Linked DNA regions of Rhinolophus ferrumequinum. The main gene of each other region encodes a partner of the protein of the gene in region 2 in a complex. Links are inferred from orthologs where the notes say so. Each region holds a gene or a part of one and is shown on either strand. Other genes may lie near its edges.

Region 1 (8,068 bases), on a different chromosome or scaffold from region 2:
CTTGTGGTTGAGAGCCCACTGGCCCATGTGGGAATCGAACCGGCAGCCTTCGGAGCTAGGAGCATAAAGCTCTAACTGCCTGAGCCACCGGGCCGGCCCCAGACCGAAAACTTTTTGAAGATAGGTTTGTCTCTTATTTATCTCTCCCCACTAAAACATTTACACAGTTTAACTCATGCTAGATGTTTAACATCTGTTTAATAACAGAAAAATCAAAATCCAAACTTCATCCTCTCCAACTTAATACAGAATCTAAGGATACAACAAACCAATATTAAATCCTCATTAATGGGATTTAACCTTTGTTTTCCGTAAAAAGGAACTCACATTTAAACTCATAAAGGACTATGAGGGGTAGGTGAGAGTGAGTATAGTTTATGTCTAGCAACTTTTTCAATTTCTTCTCTAGTTATTGATTTATACAAGTTTTCTAACCTCTTTGTGCTTTAATTTTGATTTACATTTTCCTTAAAAATAAGCCGTTTTTATTAGATTTTCAAATCTATTGAAAATTAAAATTTGAACATTGAAATTTTTTTTATAACTTTATAGATCTCCATATCAGTGTGTATTGCCCTTTCTTATTTCATAATGTTGTGCATTTACATTCAAATAGCCAGGTCTTTATCATTTCTTATGTTTTGCAAGCATTAATTCATTAACATCTGCTTTTATTCTTATTAACTCCTTGTTCCTACATTCTTCTGGTTTATTTTTCCTTTTTCTTGGTTTCTTAAGTTGGGTGCTTATTTTCAATTTCTCCTGCTTGTTAATAAAAATACATAAGGCTAAGGCCGGCCCGGTGGCTCAGGCGGTTGGAGCTCCATGCTCCTAACTCCGAAGGCTGCCAGTTCGATTCCCACATGGGCCAGTGGGCTCTCAACCACAAGGTTGCCAGTTCAATTCCTCGAGTCCCGCAAGGGATGGTGGGCTCCGCCCCCTGCAACTAAGATTGAACAAGGCACCTTGAGCTGAGCTGCCGCTGAGCTCCCGGATGGCTCAGTTGGTTGGAGGGCGTCCTCTCAACCACAAGGTCAGCCCGCAAGGGATGGTGGGCTGCGCCCCCTGCAACTAGAAAACGGCAACTGGACCTGGAGCTGAGCTGCGCCCGACACAACTAAGACTGAAAGGACAACAACTTGAAGCTGAACGGCACCCTCCACAACTAAGATTGAAAGGACAACAACTTGACTTGGAAAAACAGGCCTGGAAGTACACACTGTTCCCCCAATAAAGTCCTGTTCCCCTTCCCCAATAAAACCTTTAAAAAAAAAAAAATACATAAGGCTATGAATTTTTCTTTTTTTCCCCCCCTTTCTTCCGCCTCCCCCTCCCTACTCCCCCCTCACTCCAGTTCCAGCCGCTGTTTCTCAGTCTAGCTGTGTAGGACACAGCTCCCTGGACCCTGCTGGTGTTATGAGCCTTGTGCTCCCCGGGACTGAGGCAGTCGGTTGCCGGTCATCGGTCAGCCTCTCACAGCAGCTCATGGCAGCTCTCGTCGGCTGCCGGCCATTCACGCTGACTGCCGGCCACTCATGGCAGCACACGGTAGCCCACAGCAGCTCACGATGTCCACGACCGCAGCTCACGATGTCCACGGCAGCACACAGCAGCCCATGGCAGCACACAGCAGCCAGCAGCAGGCCCAGCTAACCTTCTCCAGCTGCTCACCACAGCCCAGCTCCAGGGAGAGCTGTTGTTCACAATTTTAGCTGTAGAGGGCGCAGCTCACTGGCTCTTGTGGGAATGGAACCAGCCACCTCCCTGTTAGGAGCGCAGCGCTCCCACCGCTTGAGCCCCGGGGCAGGCCCCCGAATTTTTCTTTAAAAAGGTTTTGGTCAAACCTCATAGAATTTGATGTAGTGTTCTCTGTTAATTTCTTTAATCTATGGGTTATTTAGAAAACAGTTTAAAATGTCCAGGTGTTAGTTTTTTGGGGGAAGAGTGGGGGTAGGAGATGTTTTCTGTCGTTAATTTCAAGTGTATCGCACAGGATGTGGCCCGTTATGATATCTACTTTTAAGAATTTGTTTTTCTTTGTGGTCTGGTGTATGTGCAATTTTTAAAAGTGTTTCAGAAGCATCAAAAAAAATAATTTCATCTTCTGTTGGGTGCAAATTTCTGTATGTACGCTAATTATTATTCAAATCCTTTTTGTCCTTGAGATCCATTTTAAAGGTTCCTTCTAAAATAGTTTAATCACTTTTTTCTAAAAGTTCTTGCTTTATCTATTTTGATGCAACTTTATGCGCTGAAAGGCTGTTTCCCTCTAATCCAATGTCCTTCTCCATGACCTCTTGAAGTCCCTCACTCATGGCTCTAAGACCCCAAGATTCTATCTCTAGAAATGGAACCTTGAGAACGCTGAGATTCTGGTCCCCTGACGGATGCTCAGCTAGGTAACAACACTGCGGAGCTTTTGGGTGGCACAATTGATGGGTTTCGCGCGTTTATGCTACAGAGACCCTTGGACATTGGCCCCCAGAGGTAGCAGTTAAATGTCCCAAGAGGGGGAGAACGTGACTAAACCAGCAATTCTCTCAAAATCTCCCTTTAACGACTCTGCAGCCTATAATAAATAACAAAGTTATGCTTAAGCAACATCTTAATAGAAACCATATTGCGGTGAAAGGGATACTAGGGATCCTGGGTTCTAGCTCTTGCACCCTCTCAATGTGAATTTGGATCCCAATTTCCTCCCCAGTAAAACCAACAGGCTATTTAGAATTCCCTTAGAAGTAGCTTTAATCGCTAAGGGCAGGGATTAAAAATATTAAGCCAGTGCTTGGGTCTCCGGAACCGAACGGACACTATAGTTTTGTCTCCTCCTACCACCCCCCCGCCTGCGCGATTGCAGAGCTAGAGGGAGTCCTGGTGAGTTCGACTTCGCTTGGGAGGGATCGATCAAGAAGGTGGTCGAGCAGCCAGTAACACAATCTCGGGGTACTCCTCCAGCCTCGTCAACACCTCTCTGCCTACCTCTCCTTCCTCAGCCGCAGCTTCTTTCAAATCCCCATCTCCGTCCCCGTCAGTTTCCTCCGGGATTCCGTCCGTGTCAGTAGCCCCGGGACCCCCGGGAGCAGCGGCTGTCTCATCGGACTCCCCTGTCTCCCCACCCTTCTCCGTGGGCGACTCGCAGGCATTATCCATCGCCTCCAGAATAAGGGCGAGGAGATCGCGGTGCTGTCCCTCTCAGAAGCCCGGGACCTAGCGCGGCACAGCAGCCCAGAAGCTTACTTCCTGTCGTCGCGCTGCGATGACATCACCCCTACCGCTCCTCGGAGGGTCATTTTGAGGCGCTCCTGGAGGACCTCAAGGCTCCGTTTTAACTCAGATTTGATGGCGGTGGGGAGAGGGAAAATTAAGGGTAGGGAGTTTAGTTTGTGCATCTTCCATCCTGGGAAGCCAACCTTTGTAAATAAGTGCTGTGTTGTTTATCGAAGGATTTCTTTTTCTTTCCCGCCTTTCCGAAAACGCAATGTCGTTAACTCCTTCCTTAACCGCTTTCCTCAGAGTAAAGTTTGGGGACGGGAGAAAACTCAGTTCCGTGGTACGCGCGTGTCGTGGCGTGCGGCTACCTGGTGAACTTTTAGGCAGGGACTCAGCCTCCTAGTACACAGTTCAATTGGACAGAGTCTGCGGGCCTGTGTTTATACTGAATTGCCAGCATTTCTCTTTTCCTCAAGCACCTTAAAGTCATAGCTTGAACAGAATTTACCCAATCCACAACTACTTCGAGAACCTAATTCAGCCAGGAACGGTGCTCGTACCAGAAACAAAACAGACATAGTTTATACCCAATTAAATAATTTTCACACTTCACCAGTACTCAAGGTCAGGGTCAGTTTCACTAACCTGACTTTTCATGTCGGCTTGGTTAATACTATCAAAAGTAAGAGGAAACAAATTCCATCCGGAGGGAGGTCTTTCCTTTGACTGTTTCATTTTAGGAGCCATTTCAGGGGTTGGGAGCATGAAGTGGAGATGTTTCTATTTTAAAAATTTCCTGTCTTCCCTCACTGAGGTACGGGGCATTTTATTCACCTGTGTGTCATTAGGTCCCCACACTCATTACATATTTAATTTATGCGTGCGGAAAGAATGGACTAGGAAATGTAGGTGCGCGTTACCGTATTTCTCTCTTTGTTTCTACACTGCCTGGACGCATTACCGTATTTCCTGTCCTGGGGGCTCCCAAACCTTTGGGGAAGGAGCGCAGTTCTGGAGGCGCACACAGGTGGGCCCTGGTTGTTCCCTTCCACCTGTACAGCGGGCGCCCACAGGGCGCTTTTCTCTCGCCCCCGGAGGCCTACCTCGGCTCAGCCAAGTCCAGGAGGCACCGACCACAGCCACCTGCGTTAACCGCCGAGCCCCGCCCAGCTAGGTGGGTAAGGGGGCGGGGCGCGGGGGCGCGGTGACGCGTGACGCCGGATCCCGGAAGTGACGCGCTCGTGGGGGGGCCTGGCGGGGGGGAGGGGGGTGGTGTCCCCGGCCGGTTTGGGGGGTGCGTTGCCCGGAGACGGAAAGTTTGGGAGACCGAGCAGGCTCGGCGACGGCCCCGGGAAGGGGGTCCAGGGGGCGGTGGCCCTGGGGATGGGGAAGGAGCAGGAGCTGCTGGAGGCGGCCCGCACCGGGCACCTCCCGGCGGTGGAGAAGCTGCTGTCCGGGAAGCGGCTCTCCTCAGGCTTCGGGGGCGGCGGCGGCGGTGGCGGCTCCGGGGGCGGCGGCGGCGGCGGCGGCGGCCTGGGCTCCTCGAGCCATCCCCTCTCCAGTCTGCTCAGGTGGGTAACGCGCCGGGGCCGGGAAGCCGCCACGAGAGCCCATCTCCACCGTCTGTCCCTTGGGTCCCCAGAGAGATCGAGGGTCCTGAGACCCGGGTGGGGTGGCTTTTCCGGGTGCCCCGGGGCGAAGGCAGGCGGCCCACGGGGCGAGGGTCGCCGGTGCGGGTCCGAGCGGCGCCGGGCTCTTCTTGTCTCGCGTCCTGACCCGGCTGCGAAGAATGGTGGGAGTGCCCAGGTGGCTGCCTCCGCCGCATGGCACAGCCCGGCTTCACCCTCGCCCGCGATAGGGTGCCAGCTGTCGTGTCTAACACGCCACTTCGGAGCAATATATGTATATTTTAAATCTCCCTCACCTCCTGCAGAAACACCCGCGTCTTGCAGAATCTCGCGGCTCCCCTGGAGGAAATTACCCTGATTTCCTTCTTCTGGGAACTTGGAACCTTCCACTGGGCTCTGCAGGATCTGGCTTTTGTTGTTTATGTTAAAATTGTCTCTGGATTTATCACGTCTAAAGTGTTCTTTGAGCTCCCCTGGTGCTTGAGGCTCACATTCTGGTTCCTTGTAGTGAACCTCATTGGGTTAGTCTGTTAAGTGGCATATGCAGGACGCATCAGGGGGTTTACTCATCAAGAAATAAAGCTTTAGAAAGACTTGGTTAGGAAACTATCCAAGGAGGCTTTAAACTTTTCCAAGGTCTGTTGTTAAAATAAACACTTGAATCTAAGCTGTAAAGACTGAGAGAAGAAGGTCACTTCTGTGTGGCTTGGAGGGGGGATTGTCAGTGAGTAAAATGTGATGGTTCAGCAGCACTTTCATAGCCTGTTTTCTTTTCCTTCCTTGTTCTTTTGAGGTTTTTAAGAAGTGGAAGTTCATTTAGAAATGGCTTGGTTTGGTTTTGTTCCCCATTAGTTTATGTAACTTCAATTTGGGTAAGCTTGGTGGAAGGAACCCTCAGGCTCTAATAAATTGTTAGGTATTAAGCATTGAGTAGGAACCAAGCTCTCTACAGGAAGATTTGAAAAGGCAGTTTAAGAGAAGAACTCTCCTTAGGAATTCTTTGGGGGAGGCAAACCATATGCTGCAATTTCTGCAGCCCGTAAGACAATTTTGTCACACATTTGGTACTCAGGATTTGTTGAGTAAATAAAAGTATCAAAACGATACATTTCTAAATAAACTGATGGTGGTACTCAGACCGTAATTGTTAGTTCAGAGAAATGAGGCATCACTTTGGGATGAGGTGGAGATCAGGGCTTCCAGGAAGAGAGGAACCTCAGCTGGTTTTGAAGGAAGTGAGGATTCGTCTGGTGAAGTAGAGTGAGAGTGGTCCAGGTGGGCACACCCGTGATCGCAGGCAGGGAAGGGGAAAAGGAGCCTTATTTGGTGTGAGGGGGACACCAGAACTTCCTGACTGGAGCCTTGACCGGTTGGGCACGATTAAGGGAAATGATGATGGATGGATCAACTTCCAGTTTTCAGAGTGACTTAGTGTTTCTCATGTTTATATTCCCAGTCCCTAGATCAGTGCCCGACAACTCACCGGTGTTGAATAAATGTTCTTTGAATGTGTGAATTGGGTTTTGAATCTTCCCCGGATTCCTTGGACATTTCTGCACTTCTGATGTCTGAGAGATGAGAGAAAGACCATGCAAGTTTGGAGTTGCCTGTCTCTTAATGAGTTGAATGATGTAGCAGTTGGAGGTTTGCCAGAGGGACCTTAACGCCCAGTGTATCCTGCTGAAGTGAGAGACTTTCGTCTCCTGCCTTCAAGTACAGGCCAAGTTACTCTTAGTGCTCTCACTCAGAGACTGTTGGAACTTCGGCTGAGGAGTTAGTTAAGCGAGACTAGGAAATCTTTGTTGAGCACCATGTTTTCACTTTGGGCCTTATGTTAATAAGTGTGTCATAAAGAGTGGAAGGTGGTGTCTCCATTCCCTTGTGTAAGGGAGTTCACTCCTCCTGACCTGCGTCTGTGTCTGTTGTAGACGGTTGATGGCCTGAGAGCTGGCCCAGCTCTCGTCCCTGTGACTCCTACGGGCAGGGAGGATCTGCAGGCACTTGTTACACTAGGTGTGTCATTAATTAGAGGTGACTCTGGTTCAACCTAGTGAAAGATTTCTGAGCAAATGAGACCATGCATTTAAATAACCCCTAGGTCAGCACGTCCTGCCTTTTTAGGTTTGGAAATAATAGAGGGTTAGGTCCACGATGCCCACACTCCCCACCTCGGGGACCCTGGGCTATTTAGCAAGAGCTGCGGAATGACAGTTTCAGAATGGGCCTTTGCTTTAGCTGCCATATCCTACCCCCACTAGTATTGCCAACTGCGCTTACATTTGTCCAGCTGTTTGAGTGACCAAGTAAAGCTGGCAGGAATAGGAGCTTACAGTCGCAGTGGATATAGATGTTCCACACCACATGTGTGTTTGTCTATTCATCTATTTATTCATCTGTTCATCTAGTCATCTACTTATGATCCCTCCCCCGCCCCCCCGCGCTCCACTGCCCATTCCACAAAAGCTTTGTGCTTATTCTTAAGATACAAAATGCTCCTTCTCTCACCTTATCCCTTTGCTCTTACTCTGCTTGGGCTTGGTCTTAACTTCTTACAGCCCTCCCTAACCACCTTAATACACACAGATCTCTCAAGCTCCTGCTTCTTTGGATCCCGTCATCTGCGGTGTATAGAAACTCGTCGACTTATGCTTTGCCTGGATTTCACTGTTTATTGCTTTGGCCTGTCAGTATAACGTTTACGTAAAGTAACCCTCACCAGTTGAGAGCATACCTGAGAGTCAGAAAGTCAGCAAAGAATACTTCCAGATAAACAAAAAAGTTGTTGTAAACTTCATGTCCTCTTGACCTTCCCTTAGTTACTGTACATGCAGAGGCAGGATAGTATCAGGCTTAAGGCCTCTTGTTCTGGAGTCACACTGGCTGGATTCAAGTTCCACTGCCATCACTGACCAGCTGCCTGACTTTATACAAATTACTCAACCACTTTGAACCTCAGTTTCTGCATCTGGAAAATGGGGATAATATTACCCGTCTTACAGGTATTGTCTTAGATAATGTGTGTAAGAAACTTACCACAATTTCTGGCATATTGTGAGGGCTCACTGTTAGCCCTCAGTTCAGTTCAGCACGTCCCGTTTGCCATGTTGTACCTGCTGTGTGGGAAGTACCATGCCAGACACGTTTCAGTGGTGTTCTTTCACACGTGGGGATCTGTTTTCCAAGCCATGGCAGATTGGAAACAGTCACTAAGGGAGAGGACTTGCTCAGGC
Region 2 (7,946 bases):
GCGTAAATCTTTTATTTTCTAGAAAGCACTTGGCCTCTTCACACACAGCTCTCAGCATTTGTCACGCAAATGTCAACACGAGCTGTTCTCTGCTCTCACACAGGACTAATGCAAAGACTCATGAGAACTCACGCAACGAGTCAGTGTTTTTACAGTTTTTATCAAGGAGTTGTCTGCTTCTCACGTGAACACATCCTTAATACTGACATTTGAACAGAGATGAAAGTGAGTCCACGGTCACCCATGACAAAGACAGGACACCCTTTTTGAACCACAGCTTCCTCCCCCAGAAGAAAAACGGCAGGGGCTGCACCTATACTGAGGCTCAGAGGAAGGGGATCCAGTGAACCCCAAACCACCACACCTGCAGGCCTCATGCAGCACCAGCGGCCTCTTCACCACCCCTGCACACCTGGCCAAGCACCTGCCTCACAAACTTCACTGACAAACTCGCCCACTTTTAAATAACAAAAGCGGAATGTGGGGACCATCCTGGTAAGAGAAAGACAAATCTAAAGCCAACAGGACCACCGAAAGGACATGGCCGTGGACAGGTCAAAAGTATCCTACGTTTTACATAATGAACTATAAGCACGAATTTCCTGTTTTAAATGTAACTAAAGATCAGCCTATACATTCTCCACTTACAGGTCAGGAGGCACATCAACGAACAAAAGAGAACCGTCAATGAAACACCCTGACAAACTCAGAAACAAACACAACATGTCATGAGCGGCATCTCACACCACCTCTTCCTCCTCAAGCACGGGTGCCCCAGTAGCCCCTGGTTGGGGCTGCACCCTTTCTCTACCAGTGCCCGTACAGAAACAGGTCCCCGCCACGCTCTGCACCACTGCCCAAGCTCACTGACTTGGACAGGGAAACCCTGCCTTCTTAACACGCTGAAATTCCTTTTCAGGGTGACCCATGCTCTTTCCAGCAAGCACGAGGAGACACGGAGGTGCTGTTTCTACTACTTCTGCCACCACAGCAGCTGCTCCAGCAGCACATGTTACTACACAGCCAGGGAGGAGCTCTCCAGAAGCTCAGCACTCACTCCACGCTGACGAGTGCAGGGGACAGAAGAGAGAAAATGGCACAGCAAGTGCTCGAGTTTCCCTCTGCCTGGGAATCCCAGAACCAAGCGGCGACACAGAACGCTTGGGGGATCTTGCACTGTCACACGCAAAGAAGCGCCAAGATGACAGGAAACTGAGTGGACTCACTGAGCGCGCTGGGCTCCGTGAGGTCCGGCACCATCTGACCCTCCAGGAGACCCGCTGACTGGACAGCATGTGCCCGCCGCTGGTGTCACTGGACGGTCATGATCAGAGGAACCAGGCGTCCTCTAAGTGATCACACGGAGCTGAACCCCACTGTGGGATGGGAAGGGCTGAAATCCCAGGAAGGCTGTGTGCCCAGGAGTCCTCCAGGGCTCACCTGGGGTGCCTGTCATCCTGGTGTTAGGAGGGAAGCAGCAGCTTTCCATGCAGACCTGCCCAGCCTCAAGGAGGGGACGTCACTCTGCACGACCCACCGGGAACACCATCACAGCCCCGAAACTAAAGGAGCAGGGAAGCTCAGTGAGGACACAGACCATATGTCTGATCCCTGACACAAGAGGGGAAGTGCCAAGCGTGGGAAGACCATGGACCCAGGCCATGTCTCTCCATCCTGTATAACCCAGCAAGGTGTCCCGGCAGCGCCTGCTGCCACTGCACTGCACGGAGGACGGGAGGAGAACTGTGAGCACCGGCCCAGAAACTTTGCAAGGCAAGGACATAAACTGAAACCAACCTCTGCACCAGGTAAGAGACCCCAGCTGCCACAGGACACCGGGACGTGCAAGAACACATTCTCACCCCGGGTGACATCCTGCCCCTGGGCACGGCTACAGCTCGGCTCCCACAGGCCCGTGCCAGACCCTACAACTTCCTGGACTCCCAGCTGGGACAGCAGACTCGCGCGTCGCTCACTCACCTGGGGGCAGCTGAAAGTTCTGGATGTTGGTCGGGTTCTGGGGCGGCTGTGGCAGACGAGGGGCCAAGACGGTGGGCGTCAGCGTGGCCCGGATCCCGCTGGTGGTGACCGAGGGCGTGCGGGGCAGGCTCTGGGCGACAGCGCTGGCCGAGCCCTTGGGCAGCCCGGTGGGGGTGCCGGCGGCGGCGGCGGCGGCGGCGGCGGGCAGCGCCCCTTGCATAGTTGGCCCGAGGATCATGCCAGGCCCCGCGCCGGCCGGGCAGCTGGCCGCCAGGGTCTGCGGCGGCGGGGGCGCCGGCGGCGCCGCGGTCTTGGGCGAGTCGGCCTTGGCCACCTGCGCGGGCGGCGCGGCGGGCCCGGGCTGACTGTTGGCGGCGGGCGCCGGGGCGGGAGCGGGCGCTGGGGCCGGGGCGGGAGCGGGCGCGGGGGCCGGGGCCGGGGCGGGTGCGGCGCTGCCCCCGTTCTGCGCGGCCGCCGGGGGGCCCGCCGGGGCACCGGGCGGCCGGGCCAGGCTGGCGACGGCGGGCGGCGGCGGCGGCGGGGCGGCAGCGGGCGCAGCGGGCGCGGGGGGCGCGGGGGGTGAGGGGGCAGGGGGCGCGGGCGCGGCGGGCGCGCCGAGGCGGGGCGGCGTGCGGGCGGCGGGCCCGTTGAGCAGCAGGCTGGCGGCAGGTGCGGCGGCGCGCGGCGAGTTCCCCGGCGCGGCGCTCCCATTCAAAGTTTGCGCGGCGCCGGGGCCGCCGGGCGGGCCGTTGCGGGCGGCGGGCTTGACGGCGGGCGCGGGCGCGGCCCCCGGTCCCGAGCAGGCCCCGGCTCCGGGCCCCGGCGGCGCGCTGGCCTCGAGAGCGCTCAGCTTGGCGGCCGGCCCTGCGGGGACAAGCGGGGCGGCGCGGTGAGGACGCGGGCCCGGCCGGCTTCCGGCCACGCTCAGGCCGCGCCGCGCTCTACCTGCGGGGGGCGGCTCCGGCGCCGCGGCGGGCGCGCCCTCGGCCGCTCCGGCTCCGGCGTGGTTCCCGAGCGCGCCGGCGGGTGCGCGGGGCGCGAGGTGGTGGTGCTGGGCCGCGCTGGCCGCCAGCTGCGACTCGAGCGAGCCCACCAGGTCGCTCACCACTTTCTCGTCCACCTCGCTGTTGAAGAAGACCTCGTCCAGCAGATCCGAGCCCGCCGCCATCTTTCCTCCTCGGCCCGCCGCCGCCGCCGCTCGGCCGGCGCTGGGCGGGGAGGCGGCTCCGCGCGGGCGGGCGGGCGGGCGGGCTGGCGGCCGGCGGGGGCGGGCGGGGGGCGGCGCGCGCCGGGCGGGGCGGGGGCGGCGGCCGGGCGGGGGGCGCGGGCGGCCGGCGCGGGGGGAGGGCGGCGGCGGCGCATTACGCAGGCGCGGCGGCGCGCCCGCCCCCGCCCGCCGCCCGGCGCTTCGCCATTGGCCGCGGTGCCCCCCCGCCCGGTAGCCGGGCGCCTCGCCATTGGTCGCGGCGCGCGCTTAAAAGGCGCGGCCAATGGCTGCGAGCGGCAGAGGCCGGGGCGCGGGCGGGCGTCCGGGCACAGCGGCCGGGCGGTGGGCGCCGGGGTTCTGCGGGCTGTGGGGGTGCGGGCTGCCGGGCGGGCCCGGGGTCGACCGCGGGAGGCCGCGGCGGGCTAGGATCGCGGCCGAGGCCTGCTGGGGACGGCGATGGGGTCTCGCTCTTTGTCTCCGCTGCCTCCAAAATGGCTGCGGCCGGAGCCGACGGGAGCTGACTGGGCGCCCAGCGGGCGAGGGCGCGGGGACGCCGTGCTCCGGGGACCGGGAGCCCCTCCGAGCCGCCGCCCGCGGTGACCGTGCGCTCGTGGAGGGCGGGGGCAGGGGTCCAGGGTGGGAAGGCGCCCCGGCGTCGGCGCCATTGCTCCGGGCGGGGCGGGGCGAACGCGCTGGGTCCTCTACTAGGCGCTCGCGCAGGAAGCGTGCGGCGGCCGGCCGGGCGCGGGGACCACTGCAGAGCTTGCGGGGCGCGGGCCGGAGGACCCGTGCGCCCCGACCCAGGCCGGTCCCCGGCTGAGTCAGCCTGAGGCCTCTCCGGAGTGACTGTCATTTCATCCGGCCTCACGGTTCCCAGACACGAGTGTCTTTTATAAATTATTAGGTGAGCCAACCGCGCCTGCGGGGACCGGTAGCTGGATAGGGAGCAGTCCGATCTGGAGGGCCCTTTCTGTTCCTCGTTTCCTGTAAGTCATCTCAAATCATGTTTACAAGCGCCTCTATAAACTATTTCAGAGAAAATTCTCTCTGCGTTTGTTTTTTGTTGTTGTTGTTGTTTTGGTTTGGTTCTTTGTGTTTCACCAAAAGATGGTGTTCTGGGACATTTTTAGTGGTATTTCTTCTCCTTTTTTGGGGGAAGCCCAGAGAGAAGTGTTCTCAGGCCTCACTGGCAAAATGGGAGATCAAAGGAGCAGGCTCCTGCCGAAGGGATTGTGGCCCCGGTAACACAGACCTCAGCACAATAAGGGAAACAGTTGGCAGTAAACGTCCTCTCCAGCCACGCTAACAAAAGGCCCATCCAGCTGGGCTGTTGTGCGGGCTCCACGCAGCTTTTCAAACCCTTGGGCTGATTTCTGGGTCACCCTCCCCAGCTTCCCAAAGAGCAGTAGGGACTGGAGTCCAGGAAAAGTGCTTCCCCGGGGGACAGTGTCAGGTAAATCCTCCAAGGATAAGTGGAATTTTAGCACCCAGAGGACAGGAAAGGAAAGGAACTACCAGGGTTCAGGGGCGCCCTGGGGTGGAGAACTGGGTGCCTGCGTACCTTGACCCAGCCTGGGCTGGTAGTCTAGTTCTTAAACAAGAGCAGAAATGTGGAATTGTGTGTAACCGCTTGTCCTCTTTAAATGTTGACAACTAGTTAGAACATTTTAAAGTGGACCAGACAAAAACGTCAGCAAACCAACCTCGGCCCTCGGTGCAACATGTGTCGTAGGAAACGCAGAGGGTCTACCATAGTCTACACTCAGATAGAAATCAAAACACTCAGATGGAAATCAGGGGTGCTAGCAGGCAGAACGCTGGATGCCTCTAGGAAGTGAAACACAGCTTCAGAGGCCTCTCCAAGGCCTGTGGCTGTGGGGGAGGGGACCCATTCTTAAGCCCGCCCCTGCTACATGACGCAAATCCTCAGTAGAGAAAGGTCACGGGTGCCATCTCAGGCTGCTCCTGTTTGCCCACAGCGTGGTGAACTCCTGAGTTCCCTGAAGGCCCACCAGAACCCCTCCAACCCGGTGTGCTCCCCGGGCCTCCAAAAGCTGGGCTCGGCGTCCTTGGATGCCCTCCACAGCCCCTCCCCTCTGCACCAGGCCTCTTCCTGCATTGTGCTGACATCACCCCCACAGTCCTCTGGGGCACCCTCCAGTCCAGCAGGAAGTGTGGGAGGTTAAGAGTCTGTGCCCTGCCCCCTGCCATCCCAACTTCCCTGGGGGGGTGGGCCTTCTGCATCCCCAGGAAAAGGTAGGAGCTGCAGACCAGTTAGAGTTAGCAGCTGTACTGGTGCCCTCCAGAGCACTGCCCACTTTGAGAGTGAACAAGAGGAGTACAGAAGCCACTTGGCTCCTCCCCTCCCTCAAAGCTGGTGGGGGACACACTGCCAACCTTGGTCACCCTGGGGACGTGGGCCATTTTCTTTGAATATCTCTGTGGTTGCACTTGCTTCCACAAGCAGTTTTGACTTCCATAGCTTGAAAGTAAAATCCCACATAGCATAAAAAGAAAAACAGGAAAGAAAGGAGTAAATATAAACACCACGCTTAAACGCAGAAAAATGTTTGCTGTGAGAACGGCAGAACCCAAAAGAGGACGTCCTTGCCACCTGCCACACTGCAGATGTGCCAGGCCCTGGGCAAACAGGCAGCTGTGTGGGCTTCTTACTCAGCAGTCTGTTGTCTTTTCAATAAAATACAGAAAGCATCAGACACACTCGCTGAAAGACAAGAATAAACAACAAAGACTCAGTAAGTTCAACTTCGCTGTGGCTGTGTGAAAGATGTGCAATGTTTGTTACCTTTCCCATGCTTTGGTTGTCTGTCTGAAATACTACATAATGAAACAACATTTTTGAAAAAAAGACATGCAGTTATCTAGATGGCCAGTGACGCAGGCCAGTGCCCCAGAGTCCTATCGACCTGGCTGACTTCCCCACCCCTGCCGGCAGTGCTGCAGGCTCAGTGGGATGTGTTTAAGCGTGGACCCACAGCCAGGGACAAGCTCATGAACACCTAACTGATCTGTGAGCAGCGACACGTTCGTTTCTTAGGGTCTTCAGAGCATTATCACAATGGGGACTTAACCGACATTTATCCTAGTCACGTAGCTTCTCTCTGTGTGTCTGTCCTCTCAAGAGGACTCCAGTTATTGGATTTAGGACCCACCGTACATCCAAAATGACATGTACAAAGACCCTATTTCCAAATAACATTGAGGTTCTCATTGGATATGAATTTGGGGGGACACTATTCAACCCAATGTACCAGATGACTAGTTTGTCCACTATGGAGAAAAGACCTATCCGATAAATCACGAGGCCCTCTTCAGCCTTACCAGCTCCTGTGCCCCAGGAAGTGGGCGGGAGAGGCTGGAGTACGAGACACCAGCCTGTGACTCGATGGGTCTGCAGTGGAGTCCACTGATCAGGACAGTCCCCTCCCTGTCCTGCCTTGCCAAGAAAGTGACGATGCTCAAACCTGCTGGGGTGACCACCCATGATAAGCACACTGACGCACTGAGACTTTCCCGTGCTAAGCCAAGCCTGAATTGCAGAGGCGGGAACTGAGGCTTGGGAAGGTCAAGTCAACAGCCCAAGTGGGGCAGAAACCCAGGGCTCGGACCTTAAAGCGACAGACGTCAGAGCTGCTCTTTCGAGGTTGCCACCCTGGGCTGACCGGCCCCTCTGTCCACAAAGCCTCTCAAACAGCAGGACACCACCAGTTCGATACACGCTCCTAAATTCGAGTCAGAGCCAGGCCAGCTGCCTCTCCAAAATTGACCCAGAGCTCCAGGATGGGGGCTGGCTGTCTGCAAACTCTGGAATGACTCAATCACACCAGTCTCTAGGCTGACTCTGAAAAATGGCTAGCTACATACAGCCATCGTGGGTGGATTTCACTAGTGTAGCTCAGAGACGAGCTTACTTCATAGCTCAGATGTATTGTCATCCCTAAAGCAACCACCAAAAAAGAAAAAAAAAAAACAAAAAACCACAGAGGTATAGCTAAAAATCAACAAACAAAAATCGATGGCTAAAAAATTCAGATAATCCAAAAGGGAGCAAAAAAGTATATTTGAGAAGGAACAAACCTAAAACAGAGATGATAGACCTAAATCCCACCAAATTAATCATTAAATGTTAAGCACTTCCATCAAAAGGAAAGAAAAGCAAGAGTCTGCCATGTACTATTTTCAAGAGAGGCACTTTAAAAAATGTAAATCATACAAATAGTATGCCTACCAAGCCTGGAGAGACGATATTGACACCAGATAAGGTAGACCACCACAGAGTACTGTCAAGATAAAAGAGGACACAGCATCATGAAAAACAGTTATCTTATCAAGAAGACAAAAGTCCTAAGTTGTTAGGAGTTTCATAACAGCTTCCAAATACGTGAAGCAAAGATGGACAGAGTTAAACAGAGAAACAGATAATTCAACAGTGGGATGGCACAGTCTTTGTTCTTTTGTGGCTGGCTTCTCTCACTGAGCATTTTGTCCTGAAGGACACGTAAAAATGAGGATTCCCCTCATTTTTATGGCTGAATAATACTCCATGGTGTGGGTAAATCACCCTTTGTTTATCCGTTCATCCGTCGATGGACACTTGTGCCCACTTCCACGTTTTAAATTGTGAATTGTGCTGCAGTGAACACGGGTGTGCAGATAAATACGTCTTCAAGCCCGTGCTTTCGGTTCTTTTGGATTCGTACTCAGAAGTGGTCTCATGGACATATGTACTTAAGTTACT
Region 3 (7,519 bases), on a different chromosome or scaffold from region 2:
TGTCATTAAAGGAAAAAGTTAGAGGGAACATCAACAGCTTTAGGAAGGTGAAGTTATTGAGAGAACATCAACAGCTTTAGGAAGGTGTACACTTGTTGTAAGCCTGGTTAAAAGGAGACTTTTTTACAAAGTCAAAATTTTAAATGATTCCAGCAGGAAACTGGGAGGAGTCGGGACATTTCTTCCGGCCGCATAAAGCAGGGTGCTCTTGGAGAAATCTACTACCCCCCTAGTAGTTACTTTGCTTAAAGTCTCAATTCCCTGATGGGTAAAATGGGAAAATTTGGAAGTGCTCTTCGACTGAGAAAATCAGCTGTTTCCACGACAGAAAACTCATTAACCAGCTTTCACCCAAACACGCAAAATACCACTTACAACTAGATATCTCAACCCATGTATGACAAAAGTGTAAGTTACTTTATGACAATACGTGTTACACGAAAAACGATTAAACACGTTAGGAACAACTATTTTTTCTAAGTAACCTTAAAACAAGGGCGCCAGGACCAACGATCACCAGCTGCCCAAGTATCAAAAAATTATGCTTCCGAAATCTCTTGATGTCGATTCCGCACGCAGAACAATCAAGCTGCTCTGCGTGTGCCACTCACGACAGAAGCCCTTTTTGAGATTCTACTATACGAAAACAAAGTGGTGACGTTGGCAAATCCCTATTTTGATAAAGGTGAAAAGAAAAAAAAGTATATGTAACTTCCTACCCCATATTCCTGGAGTTGAGGAGGAAATTTCAACATCTTCTGAGTCAGAGGGAAATCTTCACAAGGAAACTATATGATTTGTCTTTTCATTTTTATTCAGAAGCAAAGTAAAAAAACAAAAAAAACAAAACGTGGTTGATATGCAAATAACGCAGTGCTTGCTGGGTAGGTGCAAGCGGACGCAGAGGAAGAGACCGAGGTTGCTGGAGGGAACCGAAAATCTCTCCGCGCTGCAGTGGGCGGGGGCAGGGCGGGGGCAGGGCGGGGGGGGGGCGTCGCTCTTGCAGTCAGCTGCGTGGAAAAACCCGTTTTTCAGGAGCTGTGGCTATCTAACTGGGCAAGACACGAATCCACCCTATTAAAATTGAAAATGCATAAACTTGTGCCACTCCTACTCATCCACCTTGAAGCGGCCCCAGCACGCGAGCACTGGAGTCACGGGATCATCGTAAGAGCGAAAAACGCAGCAACCTAATCTTCACTGTCACAACAACGGATTAGCAGAATGTGGTGTGTTCATAAAGTGGAATGCTATCTGCTGCACTTTCAAAGAGTGTCATACATAAAAAAACATTGAGGTTAAGAGTTGCAGAATACGGTACAGCATGATACCATGAACGAAGGAAAAAAGCAATACTGCACTTGGAATGATTGAAGTATATCTTTAACAGATATAAAAAAATGAAAAGGGTGTTGAATTGGGTACTGCATGATACCATTAATGTAATAAAGTGTATACACGTGTGCCCATGAAACCCAGTGTTACATAGTTTTTCTAGGCCCCATATTTGTATTAACTTTCTTAAAAAGATCTGGAGGAACACAAAATGATTACCCCTGGGAAAGAAAGAGGGGATCAGGATGGGGGCCACTACGCACAAGACTAGATTGACTTGTAATGTTCTAATTTTTAAAAGGCATAATGGATTATTAGTGTAATTTTAATACTTGTGCAATTAAAATATAGGCCTTGCTCTATATTTTCTCCATTTATTTCATTTTTTAAAGTTAGGCTTAGTGAGGTATAATTTACATACAGTAAATTCACCTTTTTATCATACAGTTCTGTGAGTTCTAACTCATACAGACATTTGTCCATTACCACAATCAAAATATCAAACATTTAGATCACCCAAAAAAGTTCCTTTGTCCCCTTTCCTAATCACCCCGTCTGGATTCCCAATCCTGACATCAAGTGCTCTTCTCTGGCTCCATAGTTTTGCCTTTTCCAGAATGGCATAAAAATGGAATCACTCAAAGAATGAAATCTTACCATTTGCGACAACAGGGATGGACCTAAAGTGTATTATGCTAAGTGAAGTAAGCCAGACAGAGAAAGACAAGTACCATATGATTTCATTTATAATGTGGAATCTAAAAAAACAAAGGAACAAACTAAAACAGAAACAAACTCATAGATACAGAGAACTGATGGTTAACAGATTGGATGGGTGGGGCTGGGTGAACAAGGTAAGGGGATTAAGAAATACAAATTGGCAGTTACAAAATAGCCACCGGGATGTAAAGTACAGCTTGGGAATATAGTCAATAATATTGTAATAACTGTATGTTGTCAGGTGGGTACCAGATTTATGGGGGAATCACTTCATAAATTATATAAATGTCTAGCCATTACACTGTACACCTGGAACTAATATAATATTGAATGTCAAATGTAATAGAAAAAAATTTTTAATGGAATCATTCACATATACTTCATGTTTAATATAAAAACAATAGGCATGTGTTAATTGTAAAGAAATACAGACAGTACAGAATTGTAAGAATGCCTTCCCCAAACTACTAACAGTTTATAGTATTTACCTTGCCAGACTGTTTTCTATGTATACATCATACATAGATTTTTTTAAACAAAAAAATATAGACTGTTAGGCATTTTACTTTCCTTAATATATTATAATATGTGGAGGTCCCTGTCCTCTACAACGTAGAAGCTGCAAAGAAGGGACTCATGTAAACGGCAAACACTATAATAGGAAGCAGATGTGTAGTATACACTGGTGGGAAGTATATATGGGTACTGTCAATTGGGTCTGTTGGGACTTCTCCTATAATCCACCAGTCATCTCTTAAAAACAAATCATTTCACACCTCTGCCTTCCCATTGCACCATAAAATCGCATGTCCCCACTATAGCCTACAACGTCCTGCCTGACCTGACCCCTGCCTGCCTGTCCAACCTCATTGCCTGCCACTCTCCCTATCACCTCTTTAAGTTCCAGCCACTTTAGCCAGCTCTTTCCTAGCAGCTCAGGGCCCTCCATCACTCAGCTTGATAAATCTAGTTTATTCTGGTATTCTCTCCTCTTACACTTTTGTTTCCCACTTCAGACTGTAAACTCTCTAAGAATATCGTCTGTCTTCTAATAGATACCCAGCACCTAGTTAAAATCTTGGCGCACAATGAGCACTCTATTTGTTGAATGAATGTACATTTAAATTGGGTCTTAAAAAAGATGGATAGGAGTACAAAAATAATAAATGGTATGCCAGAATACTAGAATGAAGAGAGCAGTGGCAGGGAAGTAACACCAGGAAGATGGCTTGGAGCCTAATGGTGAAGGGGCCTCAATTTTGTGAATTTGGAATGGTGGCAGAGTAAGGGTAGATTGGAAATTTGGTGGGATGAGGATGGGAAGATACAAAGATACCTAGGGCAAGTTGCCGCACAAATCCAGGTCCGAGGCAGCTCTTCCTGATTCCTGCTGGCAGTTACCAACACTTGCTCTGGGCTATCCCAGCCCTTTTAACATTCCTTTGTTTCCCCATCTTAGTGTGGGACCAGGGATTCAGACGGAATTTAGGCGGAACCGGGTCTTGTTTACGTGCTTAGCATCTGATAAATGCAGCAGTTCTCACCAAACATTTGACGGATGGAATAACTGAAAGAATCTGTTTAATGATTAGAGGACGGGTTCAAGAGGATGAGTGAGAATTCTGAGTTCAAGTTGAGACTCAACACTTACTAGCCAGGACCTTGCTTTATCTATCACAAGTTTCCTTTAAAATATTAAATGATTTATTGGAGGTGAGGAGCTTGGCAAAGTTCCTGGTAGACAGTAAGCGCTCAATTACTATTATTAATTGCCCATTCACAAGCACAACCAGTCTCTTGTCCCAGGTTCTTGTGCTGCCAACTCCCCTGTCGGGGTCCAACACAATACCTATGAGTACTGCTGTCCCAGTTAATATCCCACGTCCTGCTCTAGCAACAAAGCCACCAACAAAAAACGGCGACCTCTAAGCCATCACAGCGTGTCAATTACCAGTCACGGTAGCAATATATACAACAGGCGCAGTTGGAAAGAGACGGCTAGGGCAGGGTTCGTAACGCTGAGCTCGCCCACGCTTCCAGTTAACCACAAGCAGGAAAAAGCCCAACCACTGGAGCTCAGCAACAGCCCAGGACCGCGACCACGTGTCGGAGGGCAGTCTGCGCGTGCGCAAGCCAGGCGCGCGCCCGCCGGCCGGAAGAGCTGCGCGTTTCCGGGTTGGAGGCGGGGAGCGGTGCCGGAAGTACTCGGGGAGGGCCGAGCAGTCGGACCGGCTGCTGAGACGATCGCTTCTCTGGGGCAGTCTCCGCATATCATGGGGAGATAGACGCTGCTGCCTGTGAGTCTTGGGCCCTGGCAGTTGAGGAAGAAGAGCGGGAGGAGGGAGTCAGGACCCAGACCCACAGTCGGTCAGTGTTTGAAGAGCCAGGTTGTGGAGGAGACGGGGCTGTGAGGAATCAGGCTCTTGGGACGGGACTGAGGGGATCGGGGCTCGGAGAAGACGCGGCTGTGGGGACCGGGGATGCCGACGGGACTTAGGGAACGGGGACGGGTATGAGTTCTCCGGCACTTGAGGGAAAGCGGTCTGAGAGCGACAGGATTGTGAGGACCCGCGCTCCTAAGAGGAGAGGGTCGGAACGGAACGGGGCGTTAAGACACGGGCTCCTGAGAGCTAAAAGCGAAGCTTGTGAGGACTTGGGCTCCTAAGAGGCAGAAGCGGGACAGTGAAGACCCCGGCTCCTAAGGATTCAGAAACAGAGCATAGAAGACTTAGATCCTTGAGAAGTAGAAGCAGTAAGAGAACTCTTGGGTTTGGGAGGAACAGGAGCGGGCAGTGAAGACGGGCTCCTGTGAGGACAGGATCGGGGCTTGGAGACTCCGAAGTACCTGAGGGAACTGGGCTGTGAGGACCCGCACTCCTAAAAGCGAAGAGTATAAGGGGCCGTGGTTGTGAGATCGGCCTCCAAGGGAAAGGGAGAGAGTTGGAAAAGATATAGTGATCCTTTTTCCCCCCCGTATTCTCTGAACCTAGAGTGGTAAAGGATGTGTTCGGGGGAAGGCGACTCCTCTTTCGCTCTGCCTATTTGGCGTTTGGCAGGCTTTTCTTGTGTAAGATACTTGAAATCTAGGAATCCCAAATGCAAGCATCTTCATTTTCTGCTTCATTCTTGCGAAGCTCGGATGTGAAGTTGAAGCAGTTTGAACTCAGTTATATACTTGATAAGTGCTTTAAATCCCATTCCACTCAACCCTGATTGAGCACAGATCTCTGCATCTCAAATAAAAGAATGTGTGAGATGGAAGGGCCCAAAAAGATAATCTTTTTTAAACTCCTATTTTACATGTAAAGAGGCTAAGGTTCAAAGGGGCTTAGGATCACAGTGATTGAGTAAATCATGATTTTGATACAGTACCCTGCTGTACATAGAAATGGAAGATGATGCTTGGTTAATATCCCTTGAAAACATGCTTCTAGAATCTTTGCTCTAACTTCAAACTCAAGAGGGAAATTTTTACAGATTTCTACTACTTAATTTGGAGTCTTGTAACTGTATTGACATTGATACAGTGCATATCACTATCATTTAGGAAACCTTTAAATGAAGCCCACCCAAAATATAGTAAGCCATTTGGAAAGTTGGAGATAAGTAAGCTCTATCCTATATTTTTAGCACAAGCATTTACTAGAGATGCCTGCTTTTAGATAAGGTTGTCAGGGAGACTTGGATCAGTCATGTCCCTTCTTCAATAATATCTTTTACTGAAACCTACTTAGGCTAACCAGGCACCACCATAAACACTTTCAAGTATTAGTATATCATTTAAGTATCACTTACAGCCCCACAAGTTAGATATTGTTAGTCCCATTGTACAGATAAGGAGATAGGTTCAGAGACTTTAAAGTACCATGCCTGAAATCACATGGTACTGAGTGGCCCAGCCCTAGTCAAACCCAGTTGTGTTTGATTAAAACCTTTTCCTACTTTTCTAAGTGGATTCCTCTCCATATCTCAGTTTGCCCATCAGCAAAATAGAAGTAATAATTATACAAAGCATATCACTGAATGAAAGCACCCCCTCCTTAAGACTCATGTCAACTACTATAACTTATTAGGGTACTTATGTAGTGTGGTGTTTAAGGAGAACTAAATTCCTGTGATTTGAAAGTATCATGGATATTCAAGATAGAAAAATGGGACCTGAATAGAACTTTTCCTCACAATGGAGCAAGATATATTTAATTTTAAGTTTAGGAGGCCAAGAAAGACCACTTTGAAGAATAAAGGCTTACATTTCATTAACTTTATAATTAATTGTAACATGAACTAGATGATTGGGGAAAATGGTCTAACTTAGTTGAAACTACTATTTTCCCCCAATGAGTTAGCCTACACTATTTGCAAGTGCCTATACTTATGCAGATGATGAAAACTTACACCACATTATGAGGTGAAACATTCCCATACCACCATTTCAAAATACTTGATGGTTTAATTAATGATAATTTGTTACTGAGTTAATATCCTCATCTGCATTTACAAAGTATACTTATTTCACTCATTGGTGGTTCTAGCATTGATTTGAGTTATTATAGCAGGATTTCAAAATTACCTGATCAGAAAATCATTGTGTTTGAGCAGATGTGGCCATAGGACATATTAGTTTTGACCTGAGGTCTTTGTGGAAAGCCCGCAAATACTTTGGAGGCAATACATCAGCCGTGCATGCAGTCTGCACTGTGAAACAGGTCTGTTGGAGGCAGAAGACAAACTTTGAAATCTGTACATATGGGCTTAATTTAAAATCTTACACTAATTGTTAGAATTGGAAGGGACTTTAGAATTTGGCTGTTCCCACTGTAGAAACTCTGGTCAAAGGGTCCTCACATAATTCGGTGGCAGAAGTAAGATTGTTCCCAGCCCTCCAGACTTGGGTCTTTGTTGAGCCACAGTACCTTTTATCAATCTCCTGTTGACAATTTGCCACTGTTTTTTTTCAATCCATTTTCTTTTTTTAATGTCTGAGGTCATAAGAATGGTTATAGGATGCCACCAACACATAGTAGGATGAGTGAAACCTTTTAGTTTTAACACACTGGTTTTTATAAATAAGATTTAGAAGAGGAGAGCGTATATGTAATATTAGCAAACATGTTTAGAACATGTTCTCTTTTGTGCTTACCATGTACCACACACTCTTCCAGTGCTTTAGATACATACATTTAGTGAATTGCCACAACTCTCCCATGAGGTATACTTTATGATTAACTCTGTTTTACAGATGAGGAAATCGAGGTATAAAGAGATTAGATAACTTGTTCAAGGACATAAGGTTAATAAGTGGCAGAGTTGGTACTTGAACCCAGACCCTGTTACCGGCATCCATGCCCTTGACCACTGTACTGTACTACCTTTGTGTTAAGTCAAAGCCACCTAAACAGCATCAAATTCGTCCAAAAACTAGTGGAAAAAATTCCACGTTTCTCTTGCTCTCAAGTCTCAGACT

The links.
Region 1: TAF4 (region 2) and TAF11 share a complex: the UniProt entries of both Homo sapiens proteins name them as parts of the TFIID basal transcription factor complex. The link is inferred for Rhinolophus ferrumequinum from reciprocal best matches to the Homo sapiens genes TAF4 and TAF11.
Region 3: the proteins of TAF4 (region 2) and TAF12 are in contact, whole or in part, in a crystal structure (PDB 1H3O), measured with the Homo sapiens proteins. The link is inferred for Rhinolophus ferrumequinum from reciprocal best matches to the Homo sapiens genes TAF4 and TAF12. Residues at the interface, in NP_003176.2 of Homo sapiens: Phe872, Leu873, Leu874, Pro877, Leu878, Arg880, Arg881, Ile882, Ile885, Gly886, His889, Gly890, Ile891, Thr892, Glu893, Leu894, His895, Asp897, Val898, Tyr901, Val902, His904, Ala905, Thr906, Gln907, Gln908, Arg909, Leu910, Gln911, Leu913; in NP_001128690.1 of Homo sapiens: Val57, Leu58, Thr59, Lys62, Leu63, Leu66, Val67, Glu69, Val70, Glu74, Met83, Leu84, Ile87, Ala88, Asp89, Phe91, Ile92, Glu93, Val96, Thr97, Cys100, Ala103, Arg104, Ser108, Ser109, Thr110, Leu111, Glu112, Val113, Lys114.

The regions. Positions count from the first base shown.
Region 1 is NC_046286.1:4,993,611-5,001,678, forward strand, and holds the start of TAF11 (transcription initiation factor TFIID subunit 11), read right to left. Parts: upstream 3,256-8,068; 5' UTR 3,151-3,255; coding exon 2,980-3,150; intron 1-2,979. Other genes in the region: ANKS1A (ankyrin repeat and SAM domain-containing protein 1A), read left to right, coding at 4,594-4,781. UniProt on the Homo sapiens protein: The TFIID basal transcription factor complex plays a major role in the initiation of RNA polymerase II (Pol II)-dependent transcription.
Region 2 is NC_046306.1:1,376,034-1,383,979, reverse strand, and holds the start of TAF4 (transcription initiation factor TFIID subunit 4), read right to left. Parts: upstream 3,194-7,946; 5' UTR 3,149-3,193; coding exon 1,981-3,148; intron 1-1,980. UniProt on the Homo sapiens protein: The TFIID basal transcription factor complex plays a major role in the initiation of RNA polymerase II (Pol II)-dependent transcription.
Region 3 is NC_046292.1:19,654,745-19,662,263, reverse strand, and holds the start of TAF12 (transcription initiation factor TFIID subunit 12), read left to right. Parts: upstream 1-4,264; 5' UTR 4,265-4,352; exon of another isoform or gene 4,353-4,422; intron 4,423-7,519. UniProt on the Homo sapiens protein: The TFIID basal transcription factor complex plays a major role in the initiation of RNA polymerase II (Pol II)-dependent transcription.